4 linked regions of the Arabidopsis thaliana genome follow. The protein of the gene in region 1 interacts with the protein of each later gene in a biochemical or structural test. Each region holds a gene or a part of one and is shown in the gene's direction. Other genes may lie near its edges. The genes, in order: AT4G39270, AT1G51820, AT1G05700 and PSY1R.

Evidence for each region.
Region 2: the proteins of AT4G39270 (region 1) and AT1G51820 form a complex in vitro, tested with the Arabidopsis thaliana proteins (one large-scale study listed by BioGRID).
Region 3: the proteins of AT4G39270 (region 1) and AT1G05700 form a complex in vitro, tested with the Arabidopsis thaliana proteins (one large-scale study listed by BioGRID).
Region 4: the proteins of AT4G39270 (region 1) and PSY1R form a complex in vitro, tested with the Arabidopsis thaliana proteins (one large-scale study listed by BioGRID).

What each region holds. Positions count from the first base shown.
Region 1 is NC_003075.7:18,273,440-18,280,703, forward strand, and holds AT4G39270 (Leucine-rich repeat protein kinase family protein), read left to right. Parts: upstream 1-2,871; 5' UTR 2,872-3,434; coding exon 3,435-5,329; coding exon of another isoform or gene 5,330-5,417; coding exon 5,418-5,546; coding exon of another isoform or gene 5,547-5,550; exon of another isoform or gene 5,551-5,626; coding exon 5,627-5,649; coding exon of another isoform or gene 5,650-5,687; exon of another isoform or gene 5,688-5,723; coding exon 5,724-6,271; 3' UTR 6,272-6,502; downstream 6,503-7,264. Other genes in the region: CCR1 (cold, circadian rhythm, and RNA binding 1), read right to left, coding at 727-1,128, 1,412-1,519; AT4G39280 (phenylalanyl-tRNA synthetase, putative / phenylalanine-tRNA ligase), read right to left, coding at 6,853-6,903.
Region 2 is NC_003070.9:19,236,196-19,244,151, reverse strand, and holds AT1G51820 (Leucine-rich repeat protein kinase family protein), read left to right. Parts: upstream 1-2,186; 5' UTR 2,187-2,268; coding exon 2,269-2,341; intron 2,342-2,441; coding exon 2,442-2,967; intron 2,968-3,779; coding exon 3,780-4,255; intron 4,256-4,338; coding exon 4,339-4,483; intron 4,484-4,564; coding exon 4,565-4,636; intron 4,637-4,759; coding exon 4,760-4,831; intron 4,832-4,923; coding exon 4,924-4,995; intron 4,996-5,075; coding exon 5,076-5,257; intron 5,258-5,361; coding exon 5,362-5,609; intron 5,610-5,703; coding exon 5,704-5,830; intron 5,831-5,917; coding exon 5,918-5,983; intron 5,984-6,060; coding exon 6,061-6,250; intron 6,251-6,336; coding exon 6,337-6,745; 3' UTR 6,746-6,933; downstream 6,934-7,956. Other genes in the region: AT1G51830 (Leucine-rich repeat protein kinase family protein), read left to right, coding at 80-206, 299-364, 439-628, 719-1,127; AT1G51823 (uncharacterized protein), read right to left, coding at 1,715-1,858.
Region 3 is NC_003070.9:1,707,243-1,714,366, forward strand, and holds AT1G05700 (Leucine-rich repeat transmembrane protein kinase protein), read left to right. Parts: upstream 1-2,490; 5' UTR 2,491-2,553; coding exon 2,554-2,641; intron 2,642-2,740; coding exon 2,741-3,278; intron 3,279-3,404; coding exon 3,405-3,880; intron 3,881-3,959; coding exon 3,960-4,098; intron 4,099-4,186; coding exon 4,187-4,258; intron 4,259-4,353; coding exon 4,354-4,425; intron 4,426-4,496; coding exon 4,497-5,043; intron 5,044-5,119; coding exon 5,120-5,309; intron 5,310-5,395; coding exon 5,396-5,585; intron 5,586-5,663; coding exon 5,664-6,003; 3' UTR 6,004-6,232; downstream 6,233-7,124. Other genes in the region: BT3 (BTB and TAZ domain protein 3), read left to right, coding at 567-785, 863-993, 1,070-1,684, 1,761-1,890.
Region 4 is NC_003070.9:27,216,241-27,223,327, reverse strand, and holds PSY1R (Leucine-rich receptor-like protein kinase family protein), read left to right. Parts: upstream 1-2,062; 5' UTR 2,063-2,361; coding exon 2,362-5,649; 3' UTR 5,650-5,960; downstream 5,961-7,087. Other genes in the region: AT1G72290 (Kunitz family trypsin and protease inhibitor protein), read right to left, coding at 6,829-7,087. UniProt on the Arabidopsis thaliana protein: Tyrosine-sulfated glycopeptide receptor with a serine/threonine-protein kinase activity. Regulates, in response to tyrosine-sulfated glycopeptide binding, a signaling cascade involved in cellular proliferation and plant growth. Not involved in PSK perception.

The sequences.
Region 1 (7,264 bases):
TGCAGACTGTTGTTGTCACTTGGAGAGTGAGTAAACAGAGCATTGCTCAACAAGCCTACACATTTTACAAGAGACAAAAGTACACATATTGTAGCATATCCAAAGTCTCATCTATGTGATTTTATTGTTTGTTTAATAGTCATTTTATGGATTAGGATTTACATTTTTGGTTTGAGCTCATTGGGCTACGTTGACGATGATATCCTTTCACGATAAAAAGATGCCGACAAAAAGAAAAGTAACGGAAGGGGAATATTCGATGAATATCTTGTTGTCTATATATTCTCAGTCAAAAATTTAAACAGAAGATACTAGTATTAAATACCCAATGTCCACATTGGATCGGCGCAAAACTGAGTGACGATCATTTTCGATAAAATAGCACTAATTATTGGTAGGTCAAAAGTTAAAGAACTAATCAATTTCAAACTATAGTAATTATTGATAAGAAAATCATTTGAATCCTTTAGCTGCTGTTCGATTAAATACATGTGTCTAACAAGATAAATTATTTGAGGGAAAATCTCGAATCTGGTTAAAAGGAAACGTTATAAATTTAGTAAACAACACGCGAATTAACATTTCGTTCCAGACAAAGAAGACTTAAACGAAACTGTTTCATCAAAAAAGTAAACCAAACGAACGATAACCAAACCAGAAGTGGTGACACAAAACCAAATCTAAACCAAAAACAGAGCAGCAGCACGCAAACAACTCTATCTTTGATTACCAGCCGCCACCACCGCCTCCGTAACTTCCACCATCACCGCCTCCGTAGCCACCTCCCTCACGGCGTCCACCACCACCGTATCCTCGGCCACCACCGCCTCCACCAGATCCGTAACCTCCGCTACGTCTCTCGTAACCACCACCGCCTCCTCCTGAGTATCCGCCGCCACCGCCTCCTGAGTATCCACCACCGCCTCCGCTGCGGTAACCACCACCGCTTCCACCACGGCCTCCTCCGCCACCGCCGCTACCTCTCGACTGAGCCTCGTTCACGGTGATGACACGTCCATCGAGCTCTTTACCGTTCATCTCTTCAATCGCATCCCTCATGGCTTTCTCGTCCTTGAAGGTGACGAATCCGAATCCCCTTGATCTTCCACTCTCGCGGTCGTTAATGATCTGTAAACAAACAAAATCATACACATCAGCAAAAACAATCGTGGAAGGAATATAAAACAAAGCGATGAATATAAAGCAAAAATCGATCGATCTCCGAGCTCATAGAAGCAGGAAGATGAACGTACCGATGGGACAAATTAAGTAACAGTAACAAAGAACGAGAGAGAACATAGTAACAGTAATCGAATCAAGTAACAGAGAAACAGATCGGAATCAGATCCGTCGAGGATCAGAATCATCGGAATCGGCTCGATCCGGGAGACCGATCTCTCGTGTAACAGACCTTAGAATCGATAACGTCGCCGAACTGTGAGAACGTCCTTTGAAGATCTTCATCATTGGTGGCCCAGGCAAGGCCGCCGACAAAGCACCGGTACTCAACTTCAGACATTTTTTTTTGGGGAAAAGAAGAGAAATTAGGGTTTCAAAATGTAAGAGAGAGACTTATGTGATTTGAGGTGATAAGACGCAGCCTTAATTTATAGAACAGGTGTGACGTAATAACTAGGGTTAAACATGTTTTCTAGGGTTTGCTGAAAGATTTGTTTCAACTTACTCTGATTAAGATGTGTGGTTAATTGGGTTAGTGGTTAGGCCCACATCATGTGAGCATTTTCGATAACTAATGATTTTTTCTCCTCGTTTCGAGCAAAAAATATCTTTGTAAGAATATCTTTTATTCCTTAAATGACAATTTTGTCCTTCGTCTCGTCGTCATTATGTCATACAATAGTTGGGTCTGAGTTTCGTTTATTGGGCCTATCTAATTTAATTGGAAAGATTATAACTTCCGGCCCAATGAATCTGACGGCGAAATTAGTAAAACAATAAAATGAAATAATATGCAAAGACTATGACGATAATGTGCTATGGATTTACATATTTGTTTTGTCATTAATTATGACATGCAATAAATTCATATGAAAAGATTCTTATCGCAATAGCATCGTGGACATGTTACAGTCTGTAATATCCAAACTTTAGCATAGACGTTTTTTGTTGTACAAATATTTTGGTATGTTAAGTGATATTCAAATGAAAGCTAGATGTGCAGATATGTGAACATATAAATCTTTCAATGGAATTCAATTTTCAATCATTGAATATTTGGATACACTCGCTCTGTACTTGAAATATTTTGACTGTCTGAATATTATTTTTTTACAGGATTAATTATTTTGTATACCAAAATTAGACGGATGAAGAATGAAGATGTAGTAGTTATACAAAGTCAATTACAAATGGTTCAGTATCTTGATTTCGATTTTTGTGCTGAAAATGCTGACTAAAGCGTGTAGAAGAGCTTTTTCAACAAGAAATAACCTGGCTAAGATTTTTTTAAGAAATCTGATTATTAATATATCGCAGGTAATATGAAAAAGTATCGTCGACTTTTTATAAGAGTGACAACTAAATCATTTTGCTCATAATAAAGCCACAATTATTATTAGTATATTTTGGTCGTTTTAATACGAGGAAAAATAATTGTCATACAAAATTTACAGAAATGGAGTAGCATCGTAGCTCCTAGGAATTCAATTATTTATTTGCAAAACTACTAAAATGGTGGTTATCATATTAAACGTCAGCAGAAACTTTAAGTATTTTTGAAATGATATTAATTTAAGAGTTCGTTAAGCTGTCTTGGGCGGGATCGTTGAGAGTCAAACTCCTCAAACGACGCCGTATTCAGAACTTCACTTTCAATTACTGTATCTGCGTCTCGGTCACGAGATCGAACCATAAATCTTGGGAACGTGCACGTATACAACGAAAGATCCACCTTCTCTCACTTTTTTTATTTTCTTATACTTTCTTCTCTTTTCTTCGAACGGCCGCTGTTCTTGACCAGTCTGAAGCTTTCTCTGTCCAGAACAGTTCTGTAAGAAGAAGTTTTTATCAAATATTATATAAAAATATCTGTTTCGTATTATATCAGACTTTCCATCTTTCTCTCTCTAAATCTAGGACAAAAAAAAACATGGAAGAGTTAGAGAGAGAGAGAGGCAGCAGAAAATGATTGGTAAACAACAATGAATCGTTTTTGATTCTGAAGTGCACAGAGAAAAGTAATTGCCAGAGAAAGTCGCAGAGGTAACAGAGTGAAGAACCTTTTTTAGTATATATCTTTGTTGAATAATCACAAAAAGAAAGTTTCCTTTATTGATCGGATTCGAAGGAAACCCAAAAAAAAAAGAGATTTGATTATTTCCATAAATCGCGAAGCTTTTTTCCAATTGAATCTTAGGCAATGAATGGCTTTAAGTTTTTCGAAGTACTAGTCGTCACCAGGGTTTAGAGAAACCATGGTGGTTCTGAGGAAGACATCCTTGTTGGTCTTCTTCTTATTCCTCCTCTTGTTGTTAGAGTCAACGTTTGAGCAACAGACAAGTTCTCTGAATGAGAAATCGGCGCTTCTGCTGTTAAGGTCTTCTCTTGGGTTACGAAGCAGAGATTGGCCTGTAAAAGGCAATCCTTGTCTGAACTGGAACGGCATCAAATGTGATCAGAATGGTAGAGTAACTAAGATCAACATTTCAGGGTTCAGAAGGACAAGGATTGGGAATCAAAACCCGGAATTCTCAGTTGGTTCTCTCGTCAATCTCACCCGTCTAGCTTCCTTCAACGCCTCAAGGTTCTATCTTCCAGGTCCAATCCCGGCTTTGTTTGGATCGAGTCTGTTGACTTTAGAGGTGTTGGACCTTAGCTCCTGTTCAATCACAGGAACCATCCCTGAAAGTTTGACTCGGTTATCACATCTCAAAGTTCTTGATCTTTCAAAGAATGCGATCAATGGGGATATTCCTCTGTCTCTTACCTCTCTTCAGAATCTATCAATCCTTGATCTTTCCTCAAACTCGGTGTTTGGTTCGATTCCTGCTAATATTGGGGCACTCTCAAAGCTCCAGCGTCTGAATCTTTCGCGTAACACCTTGACTTCTTCAATACCTCCATCACTCGGAGACCTCTCTGTTTTAATTGACCTTGATCTCAGCTTCAACGGAATGTCAGGTTCGGTTCCATCAGATTTGAAAGGGCTAAGGAACTTGCAGACATTGGTAATTGCGGGAAATCGCCTTTCAGGATCCCTACCTCCTGATCTGTTTAGTTTGCTGAGTAAACTTCAGATCATTGACTTCAGAGGCAGTGGTTTCATAGGCGCTTTACCGTCCAGGTTATGGTCGTTACCGGAGCTCAAGTTTCTAGATATTTCTGGAAATCACTTCTCTGACATGCTGCCTAATACCACTGTCAGTTTTGATTCTACTGTCTCCATGCTTAACATATCCGGGAACATGTTTTACGGCAATCTCACACTTTTACTGACAAGGTTCCAAGTTGTTGACCTGTCAGAAAACTATTTTGAAGGTAAAATTCCTGACTTTGTGCCAACCAGAGCTTCATTGAGCAACAATTGTCTTCAGGGCCCAGAGAAGCAGCGGAAGTTGTCGGATTGCACTTTGTTTTATTCAAAAAAGGGCTTAACTTTCAACAATTTCGGACAACATGAAGAGAAGAAGAGTTCTAAAACTTCCTGGTTAAGCCACACGAAAATAGTTATACTTGCTGCAGTTGGAGGGTCTATATTGCTTATGCTCATTCTCATAGTGTTACCAATAACAGTGAGTTTCTGTGTCCGTCGAAGAAACAGATCATCAACAAGTAATCATCCTAGAGGAAGACACAACGGTGTTGGCCCATTACCTCCTGATGAAACACTTCCCTCAAGAGGAGGAGTCTCTATAAACTTTGGGAGTCTTGGATCATCATTTACCTATCAGCAGTTGCTCAATGCCACCAAGGAGTTCAGTGATTCAAACCTGATCAAGAAAGGACAATCTGGGGATCTTTTCAAGGGAGTTCTAGAAAACGGAGTTCAGATCGTTGTGAAAAGAATCAGCTTGGAATCTACAAAGAACAACGAAGCTTATCTAACCGAGTTGGATTTCTTCAGCCGGTTTGCGCATCCGAGAATAATCCCATTCGTAGGGAAGAGCTTAGAGAGCGCAACTCATAAGTTCTTGGTATACAAGTACATGCTGAATAGGGATTTACCAAGCTCATTGTTCTATAAATCCAATTCCCTAGTTGACAACGGATTGAGATCTCTCGATTGGATCACCAGACTGAAAATAGCATTGGGAGTAGCAGAGGGACTTGCTTACCTGCACCATGATTGCTCACCATCCGTCGTCCACAGGTATGAAAAACCATTCCTTTTACTCTTTTTTTACTTTCAAGCCACCATTAGTTCATTACTGATCTTGAGTCTTCCAATGTTCAATAAGGGATATTCAAGCAAGTAGCATTCTCTTGGATGATAAGTTTGAAGTTAGGCTTGGAAGCTTTAGCAAAGCTTGTCATCAAGAAAACAATGGCCGTCCACGGAAAATAGCCCGATTGCTCAGACTATCCCAGTAAGTGCCTCTGATTCATCATATAACCAATTTTGATTTAAACATCTAACAAACAAGCTTGCTACTGTTTCCCTCTTCAGGTCTTCTCAAGAAAGTGTTCCTGGTGAGTTTATCTTCAAATGCATAAAACAAGCTTGCTAATTTCTTAACTATTCTAACAATCCCTAAAATTCCCAGGGTCTGCAGCTACAGCAACATGTGCCTACGATGTGTACTGCTTCGGCAAGATACTTCTGGAGCTTATCACAGGGAAACTCGGAATCAGCTCATGTAAAGAAACCCAATTCAAAAAAATCCTAACCGAGATCATGCCTTACATTTCATCGCAAGAGAAAGAACCCGTAATGAACATTCTAGACCAATCTCTTCTGGTCGACGAAGACCTCTTAGAAGAAGTCTGGGCAATGGCAATCGTCGCTAGATCTTGTCTTAACCCAAAACCAACGAGACGGCCGCTTATGAGACACATAGTACAAGCCTTGGAGAATCCACTGAGAGTTGTGAGAGAAGACAGCAGCGAATCTGAGAGATTCCGTACGACTGGATCTTCGAGAGGATCTTCGAGTAGCGGTCGAATATTTGGTAGTTGGAGACAGAGCGTGTCTGATCCTGTCGCAGCGGGAACAAGTAGCCTTCTGTCTCAGGCGGAGGGTTTAGCGACTGGATCGTCAGCGAGAGGAAGTAGCCGTGGCGCGTCGAGTCGACGGAGTATGAAAGATGTATAGAAAGAAAGACACACACACACACGATCAATATTTATTTTTTGACGTCAATTTTTAATTATTTTTTATGTGTGGTTATGATTTGATCTCTTGTTGATAAAAAATTCCCGTTAATTTATAATATTTTTCGATGATCAAACCAGACCAGTCTTTTGAGTTTTGATATTCTCGGGTAGCAAACTAGCAATTCGTTTTGTATGGGGTGGGAATCGAAATGTTTTATACTTTGGGGCAATTATATAAAAAACGAAAAGTTTCTGTAATGATGTGTGAATGAGGCTAATAAATGGGCTGCTGTTATCTAACCACGTTGCATCTTTGCACTTAATGGGCCTCTTGGCCCAGTTACTTATTTATTTGATCTAAGTTCTTATTCCTTACATCGTAAATACCACCTCACAAACTTTATACCATACAAAACCAAATGCTAAGTGAAAATTAAATTTGACAAGCCAGATTGCAATTAAGAGTATACACATGTTTAAGATGGAATTGTCAAGTCCAATAACCAAAGGTAGAATTGTAAATACCAAGAGATAATCAAATAAAGTATCTTGAATCAAAAAGATAAATCAAAATATCACTCATATTCCAACTCGGCAGATCGGATTCCGTTTAATAAGATCGAGATCCACCTGCGACAAAATAATGACACATGGATTGAATATATATATTTCCAATAGAACAAAGAAATGTTTACACAAAGTTTTCTTGATAAGTGAAGATTTTGTGCATACCTTGTATATACAAAGAAAGACCGTATGTTTTTTCTAGCCTCTCGTCGAAAGCAATATTGAAAATCTCCTAGAGTGAATCCGAGTACTTGATGTTGTATACCTGAACAACCCACGATCTAAGATGAACACTCAATACATAAATTTTACCTTGTATTATACCCACGGCCGAAGATAGTTTGTGGGCTTCTAGAACCGTCGAACGGAGATGGTTTCTCACATAGTTGGGATAATAAATGGCTTGGAATGTGTTCCACAATTG
Region 2 (7,956 bases), on another chromosome or scaffold:
ATTGAAACAAAAGCATCAATGATTCAAATATTTTGAAGGATATATATCTATAACTTCTGATTTCTGGCTGGGTATTTAGGTAGAACTTCTTCTTAGAGTTCATCACAAGAATTTGGTAGGCCTTGTTGGATACTGTGACGAAGGAGAGAACTTGGCTCTTATATATGAATACATGGCCAATGGAGATTTAAAAGAACACATGTCAGGTAAGACAATAATGACTAACTGTATTTTATCAGTTCTATAGTGCGAATATAAGACTTTAGCATTTATCTCAAAGTGTTCTTTTTAAACACAGGAACACGAAACCACTTCATTTTAAATTGGGGAACTAGACTAAAAATAGTCGTTGAATCTGCCCAAGGTTTGTTTCGTTCTTTTCTTTTTTCATATACTTGAAGTTTTCAATATTGTAAAAAACTAATGTTTGTGACATAGGACTTGAGTATTTGCACAATGGATGCAAACCACTAATGGTGCATAGAGACATCAAAACAACAAATATATTGTTGAATGAACAATTTGATGCCAAACTTGCTGATTTTGGGCTCTCGAGATCATTCCCGATTGAAGGTGAAACTCATGTTTCAACAGCTGTTGCTGGAACTCCTGGATATCTCGATCCCGAGTAAGTATTACCTCTTAATTAAGGGATTTTAGTTTTTCCTTCAATTACAAAGCAACCCACATAAAATTTGTTTTCTATATTATTTTCCAGATACTACAGAACAAATTGGTTGACTGAAAAGAGTGATGTTTATAGTTTCGGAGTCGTATTGTTAGAGATCATCACAAACCAACCCGTGATAGACCCAAGACGTGAAAAGCCACATATAGCAGAATGGGTTGGGGAAGTGCTTACAAAAGGAGACATAAAAAATATAATGGATCCAAGTCTAAATGGAGATTATGATTCCACTTCTGTTTGGAAAGCTGTTGAGCTAGCGATGTGTTGTCTTAATCCTTCATCAGCTAGAAGACCGAACATGTCTCAAGTTGTTATTGAATTAAACGAGTGTTTGACATCTGAAAATTCAAGGGGAGGAGCGATTCGAGACATGGACTCAGAAGGTTCTATAGAAGTAAGCTTGACCTTTGGTACCGAAGTGACCCCATTGGCTCGGTAGTTTACATGAAGAATTCAGCTTCTTTTTGAATTTTTGAATGGTTTCTTCTAAACACCATGTGAGAATAAGTCATCCACATATAACCATACAATGTTTTTCTAAGTTTTCTTACTCTCAAAATTTTGTGTTCAGCTTGAGGTTAATCGAGGTATCCTAGTGGTTAATCGAAGTATACTTCTTCAGTGATTTTTTCAATTAAAACTAATAATTTTACATAGTTAATGCAAACTCCTTTTCAATCCGAACGGTATCATGTTTTGAGATTGCCGTTTTTTTTTTTTCCATTTTCGTCCGTCTTGCTCTTGTAAATGAGTAAATCCATTTTTGGCTCCCACTTTTTCCTTTTCTTATGGTTTTTCGGGTGAACACGCATAATTTTAATTGATCATCCTGACTTATTCATCCATAGCAAGTATCCACATTCTTCTTCCATATCATAAGGAATTTTTTCAACCAAAAATCCAACAAATTATACATATAAAATCATTGGAGATTGAATTGAGATGCAAAAACACTATATATTTTTATTTTTTTTGTTCAAAGCAAAAACACTATATATGATGTATAAATTCGAAAGAATTCGAGTTTCACATATACAAGCCTTTTGACCAAAAACACACACTACAAGCTGGATGATGGTTGACTTCTGACGGTGGAGATTCAATTACGAAAACGCCATATCCATCTAGAACGAAAGACACAGAAAGACAGATCAAACAATGACGTGCCATATAAAAGTCAAATTCAACAAATCTGTAAGATTATTAACTAGAACTTAGAAGGTTATGGTTTAATGCACGTTTCCTTTCTAGATATTATTCCTAGTTTTTCGACGTCGACAACATCAAAATAAAGCGTGTTATTTTGCGTTGACGGTTTAGTGGTCTAAAATTAGTAAAGTACATGAGAGTGTTTTCGACCTCTTGTCATGGTTGACCAAAAAACTAAAGAGTTTGTCATTTTCTCACAACTTGTTCTATCGAAATCGAATTATTTTCCATCCTGAAAAAAAAGGTCTCAATTATCTATTTATGTAGCTGACTTGAGACTTTTAAAAGTGGCTCATAAAAATCATATATCCTTATATGCATAGCTTGATATCTAAAGAAAAGGCTCTTTCTTTTGGACAGTAAGAAGAATAATGGAGAGACATTTTGTGTTTATTGCCACCTATTTGCTGATATTTCATCTTGTTCAAGCTCAAAATCAAACAGGTATGCACAAATTTGTTGTTTTAATCTATATAAGTGTTGTTCAACCTTCAACGGTTTCTTAGATGAAACGTTTATATTTTTTCATCTATTGTCTTATTAGGATTCATTAGTGTGGATTGTGGTTTATCCCTTCTTGAGTCTCCTTACGATGCACCACAAACGGGTTTAACATATACATCAGATGCCGATTTAGTAGCTAGTGGCAAAACCGGTAGACTCGCCAAAGAATTTGAACCACTCGTTGATAAGCCGACTTTGACACTGAGATACTTTCCAGAGGGAGTACGAAACTGCTACAATCTAAATGTCACCAGCGACACCAACTATTTAATCAAGGCCACATTTGTATATGGGAATTACGATGGTCTTAATGTTGGGCCAAACTTCAACCTTTATCTCGGTCCGAATTTGTGGACAACGGTGAGTAGCAATGACACTATAGAGGAAATAATCCTTGTGACCAGATCCAACTCTTTACAGGTGTGTCTTGTTAAGACGGGAATAAGTATACCTTTTATAAATATGTTGGAGCTACGACCGATGAAGAAAAATATGTACGTTACTCAAAGCGGTTCACTGAAGTATTTATTCAGAGGGTATATTAGCAATTCAAGTACTCGTATAAGGTAAGCTCCCATGAAAATTTCATGTTATATAAGCATATGTCTCGATTAGTTGTTTTCATACATTTATTATCTAAAATTTATTTTTGCAGTTTTTGTATTGAAATTTTTCGTTTAGCAAAAACTGCAAAAATATGCATCGGATGCATTTATTGCAAAAATAATTGTTTTTTTTCTTAAAAATTCTTTCAACCAAAGATGCATTTTTTGTATTTTAGGGGGTGTTATTGGTTGATTGATTTCTAAATTTATATAGAATTTGAAAATTTCTATTAATTATGAAATCAAGATATATGGATTTTGAAATAATATGTGTTTACCCATATATTTGAATCTTTCTATTTTTCTCTTTCAAATCCATTCAATTCTATTTAAAACATAATTTGGATTCTCAAATCCAAAAACAAATGACTAAACGAATAACAAAGAATTTTAACTAGTATTTATAAATCATCGAATCAATAACACATGATTTTAATTAGAATTTTAAAATCAATATTGAATAACAAATGATTTTTGTTTGGATTTCCAATTCCTTATAAATCTATAAACCAATAACCCCTCCTTAGTTATTTTGGTGAATAGAATTTTACATTCATACAAAAATAGCAACAAAAAAAAAAAAAAAAATGTGCAACATTATATTATTTTGTGTTGACAATTACTATATATTTTCTTAAATTATTTAAAATAAATTATACTTCTTGACAAAATAATATTAAAACAATATTTCACATGTCAATAACTGGTGCGTTTGAAACCATAGAAAGCCATATGTCAGATTAGTTATGTCATATACATACATGATTGTGCAGGTTCCCGGATGATGTCTATGACCGTAAATGGTACCCGCTCTTCGACGACTCATGGACACAAGTAACTACAAATCTCAAAGTGAACACAAGTATTACTTATGAACTACCACAAAGTGTAATGGCAAAAGCCGCAACGCCAATTAAGGCTAACGACACCTTGAACATTACATGGACGGTAGAGCCCCCTACTACACAGTTTTACTCTTACGTACACATTGCAGAGATTCAGGCTCTAAGGGCAAACGAGACAAGGGAGTTCAATGTGACACTGAATGGAGAATATACTTTTGGACCTTTTAGTCCTATACCGCTAAAAACCGCATCCATAGTCGACTTAAGCCCAGGGCAATGCGATGGAGGGAGATGCATTTTGCAGGTTGTGAAGACGCTGAAATCTACGCTTCCTCCTTTACTTAATGCTATCGAAGCTTTCACCGTGATTGATTTCCCGCAAATGGAGACAAATGAAAATGATGGTAGGTCGATATTTAGATTCTTTATCTTATCTACAAATCTTAACGTTTTATGTTTTGATTTTTGACATCATCAAACTTTACAGTTGCTGGGATCAAGAATGTTCAAGGTACTTATGGATTGAGTAGAATTAGTTGGCAAGGAGATCCATGTGTCCCCAAACAGTTATTGTGGGATGGTCTAAACTGCAAAAACTCGGATATTTCTACGCCACCGATAATCACTTCCTTGTAAGATAATACAATTTTTATTAATTTCTAATCATGTCAATTTCAAACTGTTATCTCACACTTTTTTTTTTTTGTCTCTAGAGACTTATCTTCAAGTGGATTAACTGGGATCATCACGCAAGCCATTAAGAATCTTACTCACCTGCAAATATTGTAAGTATATTTGTGGCTAACCAAACATCAACTTTTTTTTTTTTTTTTTTTCGTCACCAAACATCAACTCTCTTTGCCTTATAATATGAATCATATTTGATGGGCTCGTTCTTCTTTGTGCAGGGACTTGTCAGATAATAATTTGACTGGAGAAGTACCTGAGTTTTTAGCTGACATAAAATCACTCTTGGTCATGTGAGTTTATATTGGGACACTGCAAATTGTTTTTTTTTTTTACTTGGTTAACTTTTGGTTAAAATATTTTTGACTCTTTTTGATCCCAACAGAAACTTAAGTGGTAATAATCTAAGTGGCTCAGTTCCTCCCTCACTTCTTCAGAAGAAAGGAATGAAGTTAAAGTAAACTAACTTTTTCTTTCTTTTGAATGTTATCATGGCGATTGATGCAATCGGGTATCTTTAATACTTACATTTTGCAGTGTCGAAGGCAATCCTCATATTCTTTGCACAACGGGTTCTTGTGTCAAGAAAAAAGAGGATGGACATAAGAAAAAGAGTGTCATAGTGCCAGTTGTTGCATCAATTGCTTCAATAGCTGTTCTTATAGGTGCATTGGTTCTGTTTCTAATTCTTAGAAAGAAAAGGTCACCAAAAGTTGAAGGTATATTATCAATAAGCTCAAACTTCATTCCTTTGTTAACATCACATACATAAATATCAAATTTAAGTACCAAGTCTTACTACATTTTTCGCTTGAAACCTTAGGGCCACCACCATCTTATATGCAAGCATCAGATGGTAGATTGCCTAGATCATCTGAACCGGCAATCGTAACGAAAAATAGAAGGTTTTCTTATTCACAAGTTGTGATAATGACAAATAACTTCCAAAGAATCCTTGGGAAAGGAGGGTTTGGAATGGTTTATCATGGTTTCGTGAACGGTACAGAGCAAGTAGCTGTTAAGATACTCTCCCATTCATCGTCTCAAGGATATAAACAATTCAAAGCTGAGGTAAACTCTCACATTTATCACTTTCTCAGAGAAACACGTCAATGACTCAACTATTTCTAAACCTTGAACATGTGAGTTATGGTTTGGTGTTTAGGTAGAACTTCTTCTTAGAGTTCATCACAAGAACTTGGTTGGTCTTGTTGGGTACTGCGACGAAGGAGATAACTTGGCTCTTATCTATGAATACATGGCCAATGGAGATCTAAAAGAACATATGTCAGGTAGAAAACAAAAGTGTGTTTTTTGTTTGTTGTTGTCTTGAGGTAAAACATAAGACTTTGACAATAATATGTTCTTTGAATAAACAGGAACACGTAACCGCTTTATTTTGAATTGGGGAACTAGACTAAAAATAGTCATCGAGTCTGCACAAGGTTTGTTTAGAGATTGCCCCCTTGTATTTTTCAATTTTTGTTTTTTTGTATTAATTAAAATTATTGTTGTGGCCTAGGACTCGAGTACTTGCATAATGGTTGCAAACCACCAATGGTACATAGGGACGTCAAAACTACAAATATATTGTTGAACGAACACTTTGAGGCCAAACTTGCGGATTTTGGGCTTTCGAGATCATTCCTGATCGAAGGTGAAACTCATGTATCAACAGTTGTTGCTGGAACTCCTGGATATCTCGATCCTGAGTAAGTATTACTGCTTAAGAAATACTTTTTTTCTTTAGTAATAAAGAAACTTGACAAAAAAAAAGTTATAATATTTTGTTTTCCAGATACCATAGAACAAATTGGTTGACAGAAAAGAGTGATGTTTATAGTTTTGGGATTCTATTGTTGGAGATTATCACAAACCGACATGTGATCGACCAAAGCCGTGAAAAGCCACACATAGGAGAATGGGTAGGAGTAATGCTTACAAAAGGAGACATCCAAAGCATTATGGATCCAAGTCTCAATGAAGATTATGATTCCGGTTCTGTTTGGAAAGCTGTTGAACTAGCAATGAGTTGTCTAAATCATTCTTCAGCGAGAAGACCGACCATGTCCCAAGTTGTTATTGAATTGAACGAGTGTCTGGCTTCTGAAAATGCAAGGGGAGGAGCAAGTCGGGACATGGAATCAAAGAGTTCTATAGAAGTGAGCTTGACGTTTGGTACTGAAGTGAGCCCAAACGCTCGATAGTTTGCATCTTATATAATAAGAGAAGGTTTTTTCAAACTTTGCCTACCAATGCGACATTTGGCACTTTACTTTGATGACACGTGTATTTATCATTAATTGTAGTTTGACTAAAATAATTTATTAATAGATATATCATATATTTAGAAAAATAGTCATAAACTATAAAATTACTACATATTAAACTACAATTTGAAATGATTTTTTTTTTACCATAATTGCAACTCTCTTAACTAATTACAAAATCAAATCTTTTAAATTTTGACATGATATTATGTTTTAGACTGCACATTAATAGTTAACAACTATAAATAGTTCTCCAATTTTATAAGAGTTTTTTTTCCGTTTTTAGTTCTTTTAAACAATAATTAATTAAAATATTTTCTCTAATATAAATAGCAAATATTTACACAGATACAACACACACATATTCACAAGTGCGTTTGTTTCCTTTGACAATTGAAGTTACTCAATTACTGAAAGAAAAATGGAAGATGGCTTGCTGTATCACCAACATTTACGGTATCACCAATGTTTACGGCAAGAGTCATAACCTTATCAATTTGTCTCTTTCATTTAAGGTTTGGACTCATATTAGCTTTCAGTTTTTTTTTCTTTTTCTTTTGTTTTTTGAGAATGATTTCAGTTTCTAAAATGGTTATATTGAGTCTTACTTACATGTTTTTGTTTTGTTCTAAATGTAAATCGAGAACTTTTTTTTTCTTTTTTTTTTTTGTAGTAGGCATCAAATGCACTTCAAACCATAAATGTATATGAAAGAAGAGGCAAAACGGGCAAGAGTCTCAACCTTATCATTTTGTCTCCTTCATTTAAGGTTTGGACTCATAATAGCTTTCAGATTTCGTTTTTTTTTGTAAGTTTTTGTAAATGATTTCACATTGTTTAAAGTTTCTAAAATGGTTATATTGAGTCTTACTTATATATCTTTGTTCGTTTTTTTTTTGGTAGGCATCAAATGCACTTTAAACCATTTAAATGGATATGAAAGAAAAAGTTAGCATACTAAGTTTCTAAAATAGTTATATTGAGTCTTACTTATATATTTTTGATAGTTTTTCTTTTTGGTAGGCATCAAATGCACTTTAAACCATTTAAATGGATATGAAAGAAAAAGCTACCATACTATGGATAGTAGAGTCAATTGCAAGAGAAAACAAGAATCAAAGTTTTGATCATTCATAAAATACAAAAAT
Region 3 (7,124 bases), on another chromosome or scaffold:
CTAATAATTCTTATTCTCTGAATTTGATTTCTTTCTTTTAATGACTCAGAATCTTCCGTATTGGATGTTTTTGTTCCTGTTCTTGATAATCTCTTTATGACTGTATCTCTACCTCTGGATTCTCACTGTCACTGATGTTCATGTCTAATGAAGCTTCTTTAATTTAGTCTTGTTCGTGTCACTGTTCGATATTTTTAAATCAAAAGTTGCTAACTTTGTGTCAATGATTTGCTTAAGTAGGACTATTTTGAGTTTATGGACATTTGATTCTTAAATTCTGAGGTTGCATCAGATTAGGGAACTTGAATCTTGGTTACTGTAAATTTACTAGGAGAAACCTGAGATTGACTATTAACTCTGATATATAACTTATGTTTGCTTCTTGCATTTGATCTTAACAGATTAAAGAACACGTAACCTATTTTCAATTCGCGGGTTTGATTCCATAGCTTCTTCAGATCATACATTCTCGCAAGTGTTCGATACGGGAGTAGAAGAAGAAGAGTCTTTCTATGCTCCTGATCATGATGTCTTGACTCTGCTTCAACCTAACTTCACCAGCAACGATGTCTAGTAGTACCAAGAACATTCCAAAACCTCCTCCTCTTCCTTGTATTACCTACCAGCGTTTTCAATCTAGTACAAGGAAACCTTCGAGCTTAATGCGCCTTGTGCCTAAAGAAGCACTTGAAACTTGGGATAAGCTTTTCAAGGAAGGATCTGGAGCAGATACATATGTTGAAACCGATAACAAGTCTCACTTTCCTGCCCATTCAAGTGTCCTGGTGAGTTTTATTAACTGGTAATTGAGCTCATTTTCCGGGCTTACTGATCAATATTACAAGGTTTTTGTCTTCTGCAGGCTGCAGCCTCACCAGTTATAGCGACACTTCTGAATCAATCGAGGGATAAGAATGGGAATACATACCTCAAAATCCATGGAGTTCCTTGTGAAGCAGTCTACATGTTCATTAGGTTTCTATACTCTTCCTGGTATGTTCTATGTGTTACAAATGCTTTCGTAATGCTTGTTTCTCCTTTGAACCATGCCTGATATTAAAACCTACAGCTACGAGGAGGAAGAAATGAAGAAGTTTGTGCTCCATTTATTGGTTCTGTCACATTGCTACTCGGTCCCATCTCTTAAAAGACTTTGTGTAGAGATTCTCGATCAAGGATGGATTAACAAGGAGAATGTGATCGATGTGCTTCAACTAGCGAGAAACTGTGACGTGACAAGGATTTGCTTTGTATGTCTTTCCATGGTCATCAAAGACTTCAAATCTGTATCTTCAACAGAGGGATGGAAAGTGATGAAACGCTCTAATCCTTTGCTCGAACAAGAGCTCATTGAGGCAGTCATCGAATCCGACAGTAGGAAACAAGAAAGAAGAAGAAAACTGGAGGAGAGAGAAGTGTATTTGCAGCTCTATGAAGCCATGGAAGCTCTTGTCCACATATGTCGTGAAGGTTGTGGGACAATTGGACCTCGCGATAAGGCCCTTAAAGGAAGCCATACCGTGTGTAAATTCCCGGCGTGTAAAGGGCTTGAAGGTGCGCTCAGACATTTCTTGGGATGCAAGTCTAGGGCTTCATGTTCTCATTGCAAAAGGATGTGGCAGCTTCTTCAGCTTCACTCTTGTATCTGTGATGATTCTAATTCTTGCAAAGTTTCTCTCTGCTGGTAAGTTATATCGCACATTTCAGACAACGCCAACAACCTTAAGATACAGATGGTAATCGTTTTCTTAACCTTGTAGGAATTTCAAGGAGAAAATGAAGAAGCTTAGCAAGAAAGAACAATCTAAATGGCGATTGCTTGTAGAAAACATTATTAGGGCGAGGAACAGTCTCGGGCCCTTCTCGTCACGTTCTTCTGGTTTGATATAGAAACAGGTTTTAGATTTTAGTGTATAGCCAGTTAGACACAAAAAGAAAACGTACATAGGCGCAGGGTATAGTGTATATTGCGCACCAATACGGCGCACAATAGTGGTTTTGAACAAACATTGTCTATATCAAGTTGGTTGTTATATACATGCCGAGTCGTGATTCGTGACAGTAATGTGAAGAAGTTTTTGCATCATCACTCATTTTATGTTAGAAATTCAAATCAATAATATTGGTCCTAAACGACTTTATTTAGAGGCAGACAAAAAAGATATACATTAATGTTATTTATATCATGATTGTCATGACTTAACATATTTCAAGTTGAGTTATCTAGTGAAAATATATATATCCTAGTTCATGAAAAATGAAAATCAACCTTCTTGAGTGTTATACTTCTTTTTGTAAGGATAATAATTGATATATACGGCGGGTCTCTCGTTGACTTTTGATGGTGATTTGACTTTGCAATGTCACCAAGAGCAAGTAGCTAATTTAAATCACTTTTAACTTCCAATTTGTTTATGTTTGGTCTTCAGACTTTACGTCAGAATAATTATTTTTGTGTCTTTAAATGAAAACTTCAAACTTCATCACATCAAAAATCTCAACCCCATTTTTAGTTGTCTTCTTTTTCCTTGTTTTTCAAGAAACCAGACGAAAATGGAAGAGTTTCGTTTTCTCTATTTGATATATTCAGCAGCATTTGCATTGTGTCTCGTCGTTTCTGTTCTTGCTCAAGACCAATCAGGTTTTCTTAACTGATTCATTTATCTTTCAAACTATTTTCTAGTGAAGAAAGTCTAATCCTTTATTCTTTTCATAACTTTAACTCGTTGCGTGATCACAGGTTTCATAAGCATCGATTGTGGAATTCCAAGTGGATCATCGTACAAAGACGACACAACAGGTATAAACTACGTCTCAGATTCATCCTTTGTCGAAACCGGAGTCTCCAAATCGATCCCTTTCACAGCTCAAAGACAGCTTCAAAACCTGAGGAGCTTTCCCGAAGGTTCAAGAAACTGCTATACATTGATTCCAATACAAGGGAAGGGCAAGAAATATCTCATAAGAGCTAGTTTCATGTACGGTAACTACGATGGAGAAAATGGTTCACCGGAGTTTGATCTGTTTCTTGGTGGCAATATTTGGGATACCGTCTTGCTCAGCAATGGGTCGAGCATTGTTTCCAAAGAAGTCGTTTACTTGAGCCAATCTGAGAACATATTTGTGTGTTTGGGAAACAAAGGCAAAGGAACTCCATTTATCTCGACTTTAGAGCTTAGGTTTCTCGGGAACGACAATACGACATATGATTCTCCAAACGGTGCTCTCTTCTTCTCTAGACGCTGGGACTTACGCTCTCTCATGGGTTCACCTGTTAGGTAAAGCTCTGTTTCTTGCTCTGTTTCGTGCTCTGTTTCATACTCTGTTTGATGCTCTGTTTCGTTAGCTCAAAGTTTACTTTTTACCAGTTGAAACTTGAAATCTGAAGCTTTTTTGTGGATCAGATATGATGATGATGTGTACGACAGAATCTGGATACCTCGCAACTTTGGCTATTGTAGAGAGATCAATACCTCACTCCCCGTGACCTCAGACAATAATAGTTATAGTCTTTCAAGTTTGGTGATGAGCACAGCGATGACTCCAATAAACACAACAAGACCCATCACAATGACTTTGGAAAACAGTGATCCAAATGTCAGGTACTTTGTCTACATGCACTTCGCAGAGGTTGAAGATCTTAGTCTCAAACCGAACCAGACAAGAGAGTTCGACATCAGCATTAACGGAGTGACAGTTGCTGCTGGATTCAGCCCCAAGTATCTTCAGACAAACACGTTTTTTCTAAACCCTGAGAGCCAATCGAAAATTGCGTTTTCACTCGTTCGAACCCCAAAGTCCACTCTTCCGCCAATTGTTAACGCTCTAGAGATCTACGTCGCAAATAGTTTCTCGCAGTCTCTCACTAACCAAGAGGATGGTCTGTGCTAGTATAACATGACTAGCAAAGTTCAATCTTTTTTCTCAGTTTGATCAATGCATTCAATTGAAACTTACAGGTGACGCGGTTACGAGTCTAAAGACGAGTTATAAAGTGAAGAAGAACTGGCACGGAGATCCTTGTTTGCCTAATGACTACATTTGGGAGGGCCTTAATTGCAGTTATGATAGTCTTACTCCTCCAAGAATCACATCACTGTAAGTGTAGTCTAATTTTAATCGCTTCTTGATCAGTCGGTGGATTTTCTATATTGAGTAGGAAAAAAATTTACACTATTGGAGGCAGGAACTTATCATCAAGCGGGTTAACGGGTCATATATCTTCCTCCTTCTCTAACCTCACAATGATTCAAGAGCTGTGAGTTTACCTAATTCAAGATTCTGATGATACCTATAATTTTGTATTTTGTTAAAGAGTTTTTTCTGACTTGAACAAGACAACTCTATTATCAGAGACTTATCAAACAATGGCTTAACCGGAGACATTCCGGAGTTCCTCTCAAAACTGAAGTTCTTGAGGGTTTTGTAAGTTCTGGACATATCTTAACAAATGAGATCGATAATTATGGACTCTTAACTCTTAACAACATCTGCAGAAATCTAGAAAATAACACTCTTACCGGTTCAGTTCCATCCGAGTTATTAGAAAGATCAAACACCGGATCATTCTCGCTAAGGCTAGGAGAAAATCCAGGACTCTGTACTGAGATTTCTTGCAGAAAAAGCAACAGCAAAAAACTCGTTATCCCGCTTGTCGCATCATTTGCAGCATTGTTCATCCTCTTGTTATTGTCTGGTGTGTTTTGGAGAATCAGAAACCGGAGAAACAAGTCCGGTACAATTACAAATCTATCTCTATATCTTTCCTTTTACATTCATATCTATCTGTTAATCACATTACCAATTGTTAAAACTTTCTTTTGCAAAGTAAACTCCGCACCTCAAACCAGTCCAATGGCGAAATCGGAGAACAAATTACTGTTTACCTTTGCAGACGTTATAAAGATGACAAATAACTTCGGTCAAGTCCTCGGCAAAGGAGGGTTTGGAACAGTCTACCATGGCTTCTATGACAACCTTCAAGTAGCTGTTAAACTTTTATCAGAAACATCAGCTCAAGGATTCAAAGAGTTTCGCTCTGAGGTATTGTAGTAGAACTTCAGATATGACAAATGATTCCAAAAAGATATACAAATCATAACCACCTAAATACATGTAGGTCGAAGTTCTTGTGAGGGTTCATCATGTTAACCTCACTGCGCTGATCGGTTATTTCCATGAAGGTGACCAAATGGGATTGATCTATGAGTTCATGGCTAACGGCAACATGGCGGATCATCTCGCGGGAAAGTATCAGCACACATTGAGCTGGAGACAAAGGCTTCAGATTGCACTTGATGCAGCACAAGGTATGATGAAACAAAGTGTCGATCTTTTATATACTAGGTTATTAATTAATCCAAAAGTTTAAATCTTTAACGAAAAATCTATGAAGGGCTTGAGTATCTTCACTGTGGATGCAAACCTCCAATAGTCCACAGAGATGTGAAGACTTCAAACATATTGTTGAACGAGAAAAACAGAGCAAAGCTTGCAGATTTCGGACTCTCACGGAGTTTTCATACAGAGAGTCGTTCTCACGTATCCACCCTAGTCGCTGGAACTCCCGGATATCTCGATCCGCTGTCAGTTTTCTCTCTTATGTCTGCCATATTTGCCAAACATGGAATCTTTTTTTAGTGATTGTATGCTCCGTTTTGCAGATGCTTTGAGACAAATGGGCTAAACGAGAAGAGTGACATTTACAGCTTTGGAGTTGTTCTGTTGGAGATGATTACAGGCAAAACCGTGATCAAAGAGTCACAAACGAAACGTGTTCATGTGAGTGATTGGGTGATATCGATCTTGAGGTCTACGAATGATGTGAACAATGTTATAGATTCAAAGATGGCGAAAGATTTTGATGTAAACTCTGTATGGAAAGTTGTGGAGCTTGCATTATCCTCTGTTTCGCAGAACGTCTCTGATAGGCCAAACATGCCACATATTGTTAGAGGATTGAATGAGTGTCTTCAAAGAGAAGAGAGTAACAAGAACTATTGATGTCACAACGCAAAGGGTGTAGAATAAGTCAAGGGGTTGGAAACAGAAAGATGTTGAAAACTTGGGAGTGTTTATATATTTAAATTTTTGAAAGGCTTTTTAAAGTTTGTGTTGCTAATGCTATATCTAAAAGCCCAAAGTAATAATGTAATGGAATAGAAAAGAATCCATAATAAATAGGAAAAAACAAAGAAAAAGTACCTAATCCGGTAGCCACAAGGAAAAAAGAGGACAAGAAGATGGTGACAACAAGACAAAGACCGAAGCCGCGTAGGACCCCAAACGTACCTTTTAAATAAAACGCTGATTCCTTTCGGACTTTTGCGTCGCACGGTCTGTGCCGCTGTCCCCACAAATCTCTATTTTTTACACACGCAATCTCTACCTCTGCGTCTGCGTTTCGAAACGTGACTCTTCTAACCGCTCCACGTGAGTGACTTTTAGAGCGAGTTTGGTGTCCGAAACCACGCGTGCGCGTCTCCTCAACGCCTGAGTCTCTCTATGAAGTTGCATTGACGTCAGAAAAATTAAATTTGTCTTACTTGAAACATAAAAATTTACAGTAGTAAATTATCATTTTCATAACACTTCATTTATTCTCTTGTAGTTAAACAACGGATATACTAATGAAATGAACTCGTTCAATCTAATTAAAATCTCATTATTAATGGTAGACGCTAGAGAATCTCATTATTGTAGGTGTTAATTTATGAAAATAATACATCACTTTCAATCACTGATTTGATTAGATTGATGGATTTTATATACAGCCCATGTTTTTAACCTCTCTAGTTGAAATTTTGGTTGATTTTAAAGAGAAGAGAACAAAAATTCAAAGACGAAAAAAGCAAAAAGTGGAAAGTAGAAACAAAAAGACTGATGGTGCAGAGAGCTGGTCAAATATGTTGACAAAATAAAATAACCTTACAATGTCACTATCATCAATAAATGAAAAAATAGTTCTCTCTATCTATCTATAATAATAATAATAAAAGCAACTTCTACCTGGGACTGATATTAACTACGAAGACCTCTCACTCTCTCAATGGGTTGTATAATAGCTGTCAAATTATGATGTATTTAGTCACAAGACAAAAGACTGATTCTGAACACTAAAGCCT
Region 4 (7,087 bases), on another chromosome or scaffold:
GGAGCAGGAAAAATTAAAATAGCTGTATACAGTTTATAAAAGGACAAGTAATATATTACAAAATATAGAAAAATGCCAAACACAAAATATACATTAAATCAGGATCATGATACATGTTATCTTTCAGTTGAATTGTATATATAAAAAATGGAATATCCTAATCCAAGTCGTCCAATTGCCAAATTTTATCCCCAAAAAAAAAAAAAAAGTCGCCCATTTTATTTGTTTTTACAAAATCATTTTCTCAATTTAAAAAGAAGAAGAAATTGTCAGACGAAAAAAAAACAAATTAGGACGAGTTCTTTTCAAGATAGATAAACAGATATGCCGATGTGCTGTGTTTTGAAATGGATTCATATTAGAAAATAGCAAAATAATAATTAAGAAGTTAATAACTTATAAGTAAAATAAATAAATGAATACAATATTTATTGGCTTTTCCTTATTCTATTCTAGGCCAGAAAACGACAAGCTTTATTAAACCTGGATTTTGAGGTACATGAATCTCTATAAGTATAAGAAATATATTAGGTGGAAAATAAAATTATTAGAGATTCTATAAATTTGATTGAACATAATAAAAATTCAGTGGAAAAACATTAAAATAGATGTGATCGTCTTTTATCGAAAAGCTAATAATATATTATCGTTGTATAAAGTCACAAGAGTTTATTTTACGGTTTATTCTCAACAATCTGAGCCTCAGAATTCTAAATTTCCTTCTTTATTTTAGATGATAGAGAGATAAATAAAGCATACATAAAGGAGGTCCAACACAACTCCAAAAGATTGTTCGGTATTATTTAATGTCAAATCTTTATATTCGATTCCACTAAAGAGATAACTATTCTTACCATGTCTTCGTAAGCTCTATCATGTTAAATAATATTTAGATAGAAAAACAAATTCACACCATCATTACTTACTGCTCCTAAACACTAGTTAAAGTATTAAACGCATTAATCATGATAGATTCTATTTAATTGGACTTCGAAGAACTCTCTTTTTAAAACATCACTCCAAATAACTGTTTTTGATCGTCAATAATTCACAAAAACACAATTTCGGTTTTAAAATTAAGTAACTTCTTATGACTTATTCTAATCGTATGAAAGTGATAAATATAATATCACACAAAATCTATACTAATGTTTTTTTTTGGGTTATAGCCATTTAATAAGTACAATTTCTGAAAAGTCTAAGACAGTTAATTTAATACGGTATTGTTTAAAGTAACTTGTTAGCTATCATATACGCCATTTGCTCATTATAAATTACGAAAAGAAACACACACATGAACAGCTTGAAGGATTTTTATAACCCTAAGAAATCAAAAAGTCAAACAAAATAAATAGTATCCTTTACAAAAAAAAAATAGTTATCATATGATCTTCTTTATCTACTTTTCGTTCTTTATGACCACTATCTAATGTTAAATGTGGCTTCCACTTGGCATAATTAAACATAAAAAGATCCTCCATAAGGCAAAAAAGTAAAGAAAGAAATGGACAAAAATAAATAAAGATGAATTACATATTCTACAATTTTAGAGGATATAGAAAAAAGTTGTGTAACACCACCACCACTACGAGCCACTACTACTAAACCAGCCGCCCCAAAAGGTAAACGCCTCTACCACAAAAAATAATCATCATAATACTATTCTTCAACTTCTTCTTTTTTATTTATTTATTTTGATTTCATATCATAATGTTTGTACCCATCATTATTATTTTATGATCAAATTCAATTTCATGATCAACATCATAGCACGCACGCATGCACCTCCCACCTCCAAAGATTGAAATGACCCAATTTCAAAATAAATCACATAAAACGTTTTTTAATCTTTCTTAATCATGAATAAATGACAGAACAAAACCAGACAAATGAAATAAGTAAAACATTTTTCATTGGTTCATATAAGTAAGGATATATAGGGCTGACTTTAATAATTACCAGAGCTATTCAGAGAGTTGTACTTGAGCTTTTATTACAAAAAGGAATAATAATTTATATATATATATATATATATATATATATATATAACTTTTTAATCAAAAAAAAACTTTACATAAAAACAGCATACCCACAACCACAATCAGGGCAGAAAGATAACATGATAAAATAAAATAAAATTTAAAAGTGAACTTTGGGTGTGACAAGAAGTTTTCTTCTGTTTGGTCTGACTATTCCCTTTGGTCAACGATGGTATTGAGAGCCATTTACAAGCTTCGGACAGAGAAACCCAGATTGGATAATCATGTCTTTTGTTTCTTCTTTTCCCTCTCCTTCTTCTTCTTCTTTTTCAAGCTTTCTTAATCTTTCTCAGCTTCTTCTTCTTCTTCTTTTGTTCTCGCCATGATTGACGAGAAGATGAGATCTAAATCCATTGGTCCTTTTGTGAGACAAGTAAAACCTTTGAGTCCTCACATGGTTCTCTTTGTCCTTCTCTACGTTCTTTCCATTTCTGTCTTCTTTCTTACAGTTTCAGAGGCTGTTTGTAATCTTCAGGATCGAGATTCTCTCCTTTGGTTCTCTGGCAACGTATCATCTCCAGTCTCTCCTTTGCATTGGAATTCGTCCATTGATTGTTGCTCCTGGGAAGGAATCTCTTGTGATAAGTCTCCTGAAAATCGTGTTACTTCGATTATTTTGTCCTCTAGAGGACTCTCTGGCAATCTTCCGTCGTCTGTTTTGGATCTCCAGCGTCTCTCTCGTCTCGACCTTTCTCATAACCGTCTCTCTGGTCCACTCCCACCTGGTTTCCTCTCTGCCCTTGATCAGCTCTTGGTTCTTGATCTTAGTTACAACAGTTTCAAAGGTGAATTGCCACTTCAACAATCATTTGGCAATGGAAGCAACGGAATCTTCCCAATTCAGACCGTTGATCTCTCCAGCAATCTTCTTGAGGGAGAAATTCTCAGTAGTTCTGTTTTTCTTCAGGGTGCTTTCAATTTAACCAGTTTCAATGTCAGCAACAACAGCTTCACGGGTTCTATCCCTTCCTTCATGTGCACAGCTTCGCCGCAGCTCACCAAACTGGATTTCTCCTACAATGATTTCAGCGGTGATCTCTCTCAAGAATTAAGCAGATGCTCGAGGCTAAGTGTTCTTCGAGCAGGCTTCAACAATCTCTCTGGTGAAATCCCCAAAGAAATCTACAATCTTCCTGAGCTCGAGCAACTCTTTTTACCAGTCAACCGTCTTTCTGGCAAAATTGATAATGGGATTACTCGTCTCACCAAACTGACATTGCTTGAGCTTTACTCTAATCACATCGAAGGAGAAATACCCAAGGATATAGGTAAGCTTTCGAAACTGAGTAGCCTCCAACTCCATGTCAATAACCTCATGGGTTCTATCCCGGTTTCTCTCGCCAATTGCACAAAACTCGTGAAGTTGAATTTACGGGTTAATCAGCTGGGAGGAACTTTATCGGCGATAGACTTTTCCCGGTTTCAGAGCCTCAGCATTCTGGACCTCGGAAACAATAGCTTCACCGGCGAATTTCCCTCCACGGTTTACTCATGCAAAATGATGACAGCAATGAGGTTTGCAGGCAACAAGTTAACGGGACAGATATCTCCTCAAGTACTGGAATTGGAATCCCTGTCGTTCTTTACTTTTTCAGACAATAAAATGACGAACCTTACAGGGGCTCTCAGCATTCTACAAGGCTGCAAGAAGCTTTCTACTCTCATTATGGCAAAGAATTTTTACGACGAAACGGTACCAAGCAACAAAGACTTTCTTCGGTCAGATGGATTTCCAAGCCTCCAAATTTTTGGTATCGGTGCGTGCAGATTGACAGGTGAAATACCAGCTTGGCTGATCAAGCTCCAGAGGGTAGAAGTTATGGACCTGTCCATGAACCGATTCGTGGGGACAATTCCTGGTTGGCTAGGAACTCTTCCAGACCTTTTCTACTTGGATCTTTCCGATAACTTTCTAACAGGAGAGCTTCCAAAGGAACTGTTTCAGCTGAGAGCTCTGATGTCGCAAAAGGCATACGATGCAACAGAGCGGAACTATCTGGAGCTGCCGGTTTTTGTCAATCCCAATAATGTCACCACTAATCAGCAATACAATCAGCTTTCCAGCCTCCCACCTACGATATACATCAAGAGGAACAACTTGACTGGGACTATACCAGTCGAGGTTGGGCAGCTAAAGGTTCTCCATATCCTGGAGCTTCTAGGTAATAATTTTTCTGGCAGCATCCCAGATGAATTGTCAAACCTCACTAACTTAGAGAGGCTGGACCTGTCCAACAACAATCTCTCCGGTAGAATTCCATGGTCACTCACTGGACTCCATTTCCTGTCATATTTCAATGTTGCAAACAACACTCTCAGTGGGCCGATACCCACAGGGACCCAGTTTGATACCTTCCCAAAAGCAAATTTTGAAGGAAACCCCTTGCTGTGCGGTGGTGTACTGCTAACCTCCTGCGATCCAACTCAGCACTCTACTACAAAGATGGGTAAAGGAAAGGTCAACAGAACGCTTGTTTTGGGGCTTGTCCTTGGGCTTTTTTTTGGCGTCAGTTTGATTTTGGTGCTGCTAGCTCTGTTGGTGCTTTCTAAAAGGAGAGTAAATCCAGGAGACTCTGAGAATGCTGAACTGGAGATAAATTCCAATGGCTCGTATTCTGAAGTCCCTCCAGGGTCGGATAAAGACATAAGTCTTGTACTGTTGTTTGGAAACAGTAGATATGAAGTAAAAGACCTGACCATATTTGAGCTCTTGAAAGCTACCGACAACTTCAGTCAAGCTAATATAATTGGCTGCGGCGGGTTTGGCCTTGTCTATAAGGCTACCTTGGATAATGGAACGAAACTGGCGGTTAAGAAACTCACAGGAGACTATGGTATGATGGAAAAGGAATTCAAGGCAGAGGTAGAAGTTCTGTCCAGGGCGAAACATGAGAACCTGGTCGCTCTACAAGGTTATTGCGTCCATGATAGTGCCCGGATACTAATTTACTCGTTCATGGAGAATGGTAGTCTGGATTATTGGCTGCACGAAAATCCTGAGGGTCCAGCTCAGCTGGATTGGCCAAAAAGACTCAACATTATGAGAGGAGCAAGTAGTGGACTAGCATACATGCACCAGATATGTGAACCACACATAGTACACCGAGACATCAAGTCCAGCAACATCCTTTTGGATGGAAATTTCAAGGCATATGTAGCAGATTTCGGGTTGTCAAGATTGATCCTTCCATATCGCACCCATGTAACAACTGAGCTAGTGGGCACATTGGGTTACATTCCCCCAGAGTATGGACAAGCTTGGGTAGCCACTTTGAGAGGTGACGTGTACAGTTTTGGTGTAGTCATGCTCGAGCTTCTCACAGGGAAAAGACCAATGGAGGTTTTCAGGCCAAAGATGTCAAGAGAATTGGTCGCATGGGTGCATACTATGAAAAGAGATGGGAAACCAGAGGAAGTGTTTGATACATTGCTGAGAGAAAGTGGAAATGAAGAAGCGATGCTTCGTGTGCTTGACATAGCCTGCATGTGTGTGAACCAAAATCCAATGAAAAGACCAAACATTCAACAAGTTGTAGACTGGCTAAAGAATATAGAAGCGGAGAAAAACCAAAATAACAGAGAAGAACCTGAAGAAGAAGAAGAGACGTAACTGTGTGTGTGCCTTCCTTCCCTACATTCATCATTGTGACCAGATTCAAATATCTGCATAAGTAAATATACACATATTTTTCTTGTCAATTGCATATGTTAACCATCATTTCCATGTAAATTATAATTTTGATGGTAATAGAAGCTTTGATGATGTAAAGAACAGGAATTTATGCAGCTCGTGACATTCAAACGATTTCTATATACATGTAGCTCTCTAGCTATGTAAAACCCTTTGGCTTTAACATGATCAAAAGCAGATTTTTATAAAAGGATTTGATTAGAAATCTGGAATGTATCGTATGATCAAACCAACTTTGGCTTCCATGAAATTTCTCCGTTCTTAAGAGGTCTAAGAAAACAAAAAAATCTGTGATGCTAACAGAATAACTCAAGTGGGGTCTGTAAGCGGCATTTAATCGAACATTTGGTGTGCATAGTTACCAAAGAGACATTGAGTGAAAAGAAAGAGTCGTATGACGCGCGAAAGAAGACAAAGCATGAGAATCTGAGAAACTGAGACATACCTAAACATCAATGGAAGATTCAGAGACAGAGAGAGAGAGAGAAAAAAAGAGAGAGGTTTTTGTGAAACGAAAGCTTTTGATTTAGACTTTTAAAACTTATTGGATAATATATGTCTTGCTAAACGTCGTCGTTTTGAGTGTTTTTGGGAAAATAAGCTATATAGAGTAACGCCAAAAAAAGAAACCCTATCGTGATCAAAAGAATAGTGTTACGTTTCTTTGTTGATAAAACCTTGAGATACTCCTCAAATATCTTAATCTCTCAATTAAGCAAGAGACATACACGTTTATTTATCCGGTTTGATTAGTCGATGTCACGAGATCCACGTCCGGAGCTAGATTCTGTCCAGCAAGTTATACTATGAATGATCAATGTTTTCTCAAGCTCAAGATCTTTACAAGAGGAGAGAAAATTTTCGGATACAAAGTAGAATGAAGAAGAAAACTATTTCATGCCTTAAACAGATTCAACAGCAATGCCTATGAATGATTCTCAACATCTATGTATCTGGATCTGGCCACATTTTTCTTTCTTATTAATTGAAATTTGAAAATAACTCATTATTTTAGGCCATGGACGAGTCTCAGGCTTAATATTACAATAATTTTTACCAGTTGATTAGTAGAACGGGAACATCCTTAGACCTAAATTATCAACCCGGGAAGTATAAGTTGCTAGTAGCCGTAGTAGCATCATCAACCTTTTTGAATTTGACGAGTAAGGTCTTAGCCGTATCCTTGGTGATAATTAGTTGTGGTGCGCTTAACCAAACCCCTGGGATGGCTCCAACGGTTCCGTAAAAGGTGGTCAACTTATAAACGTTTGCTCTAGCTCCTTCTCCAGCTTTCTCAATCTTAAACGAGCTATTTCGGTCCCCCATTTTACCACCGATGAGAATTGAAGGCTCCTTG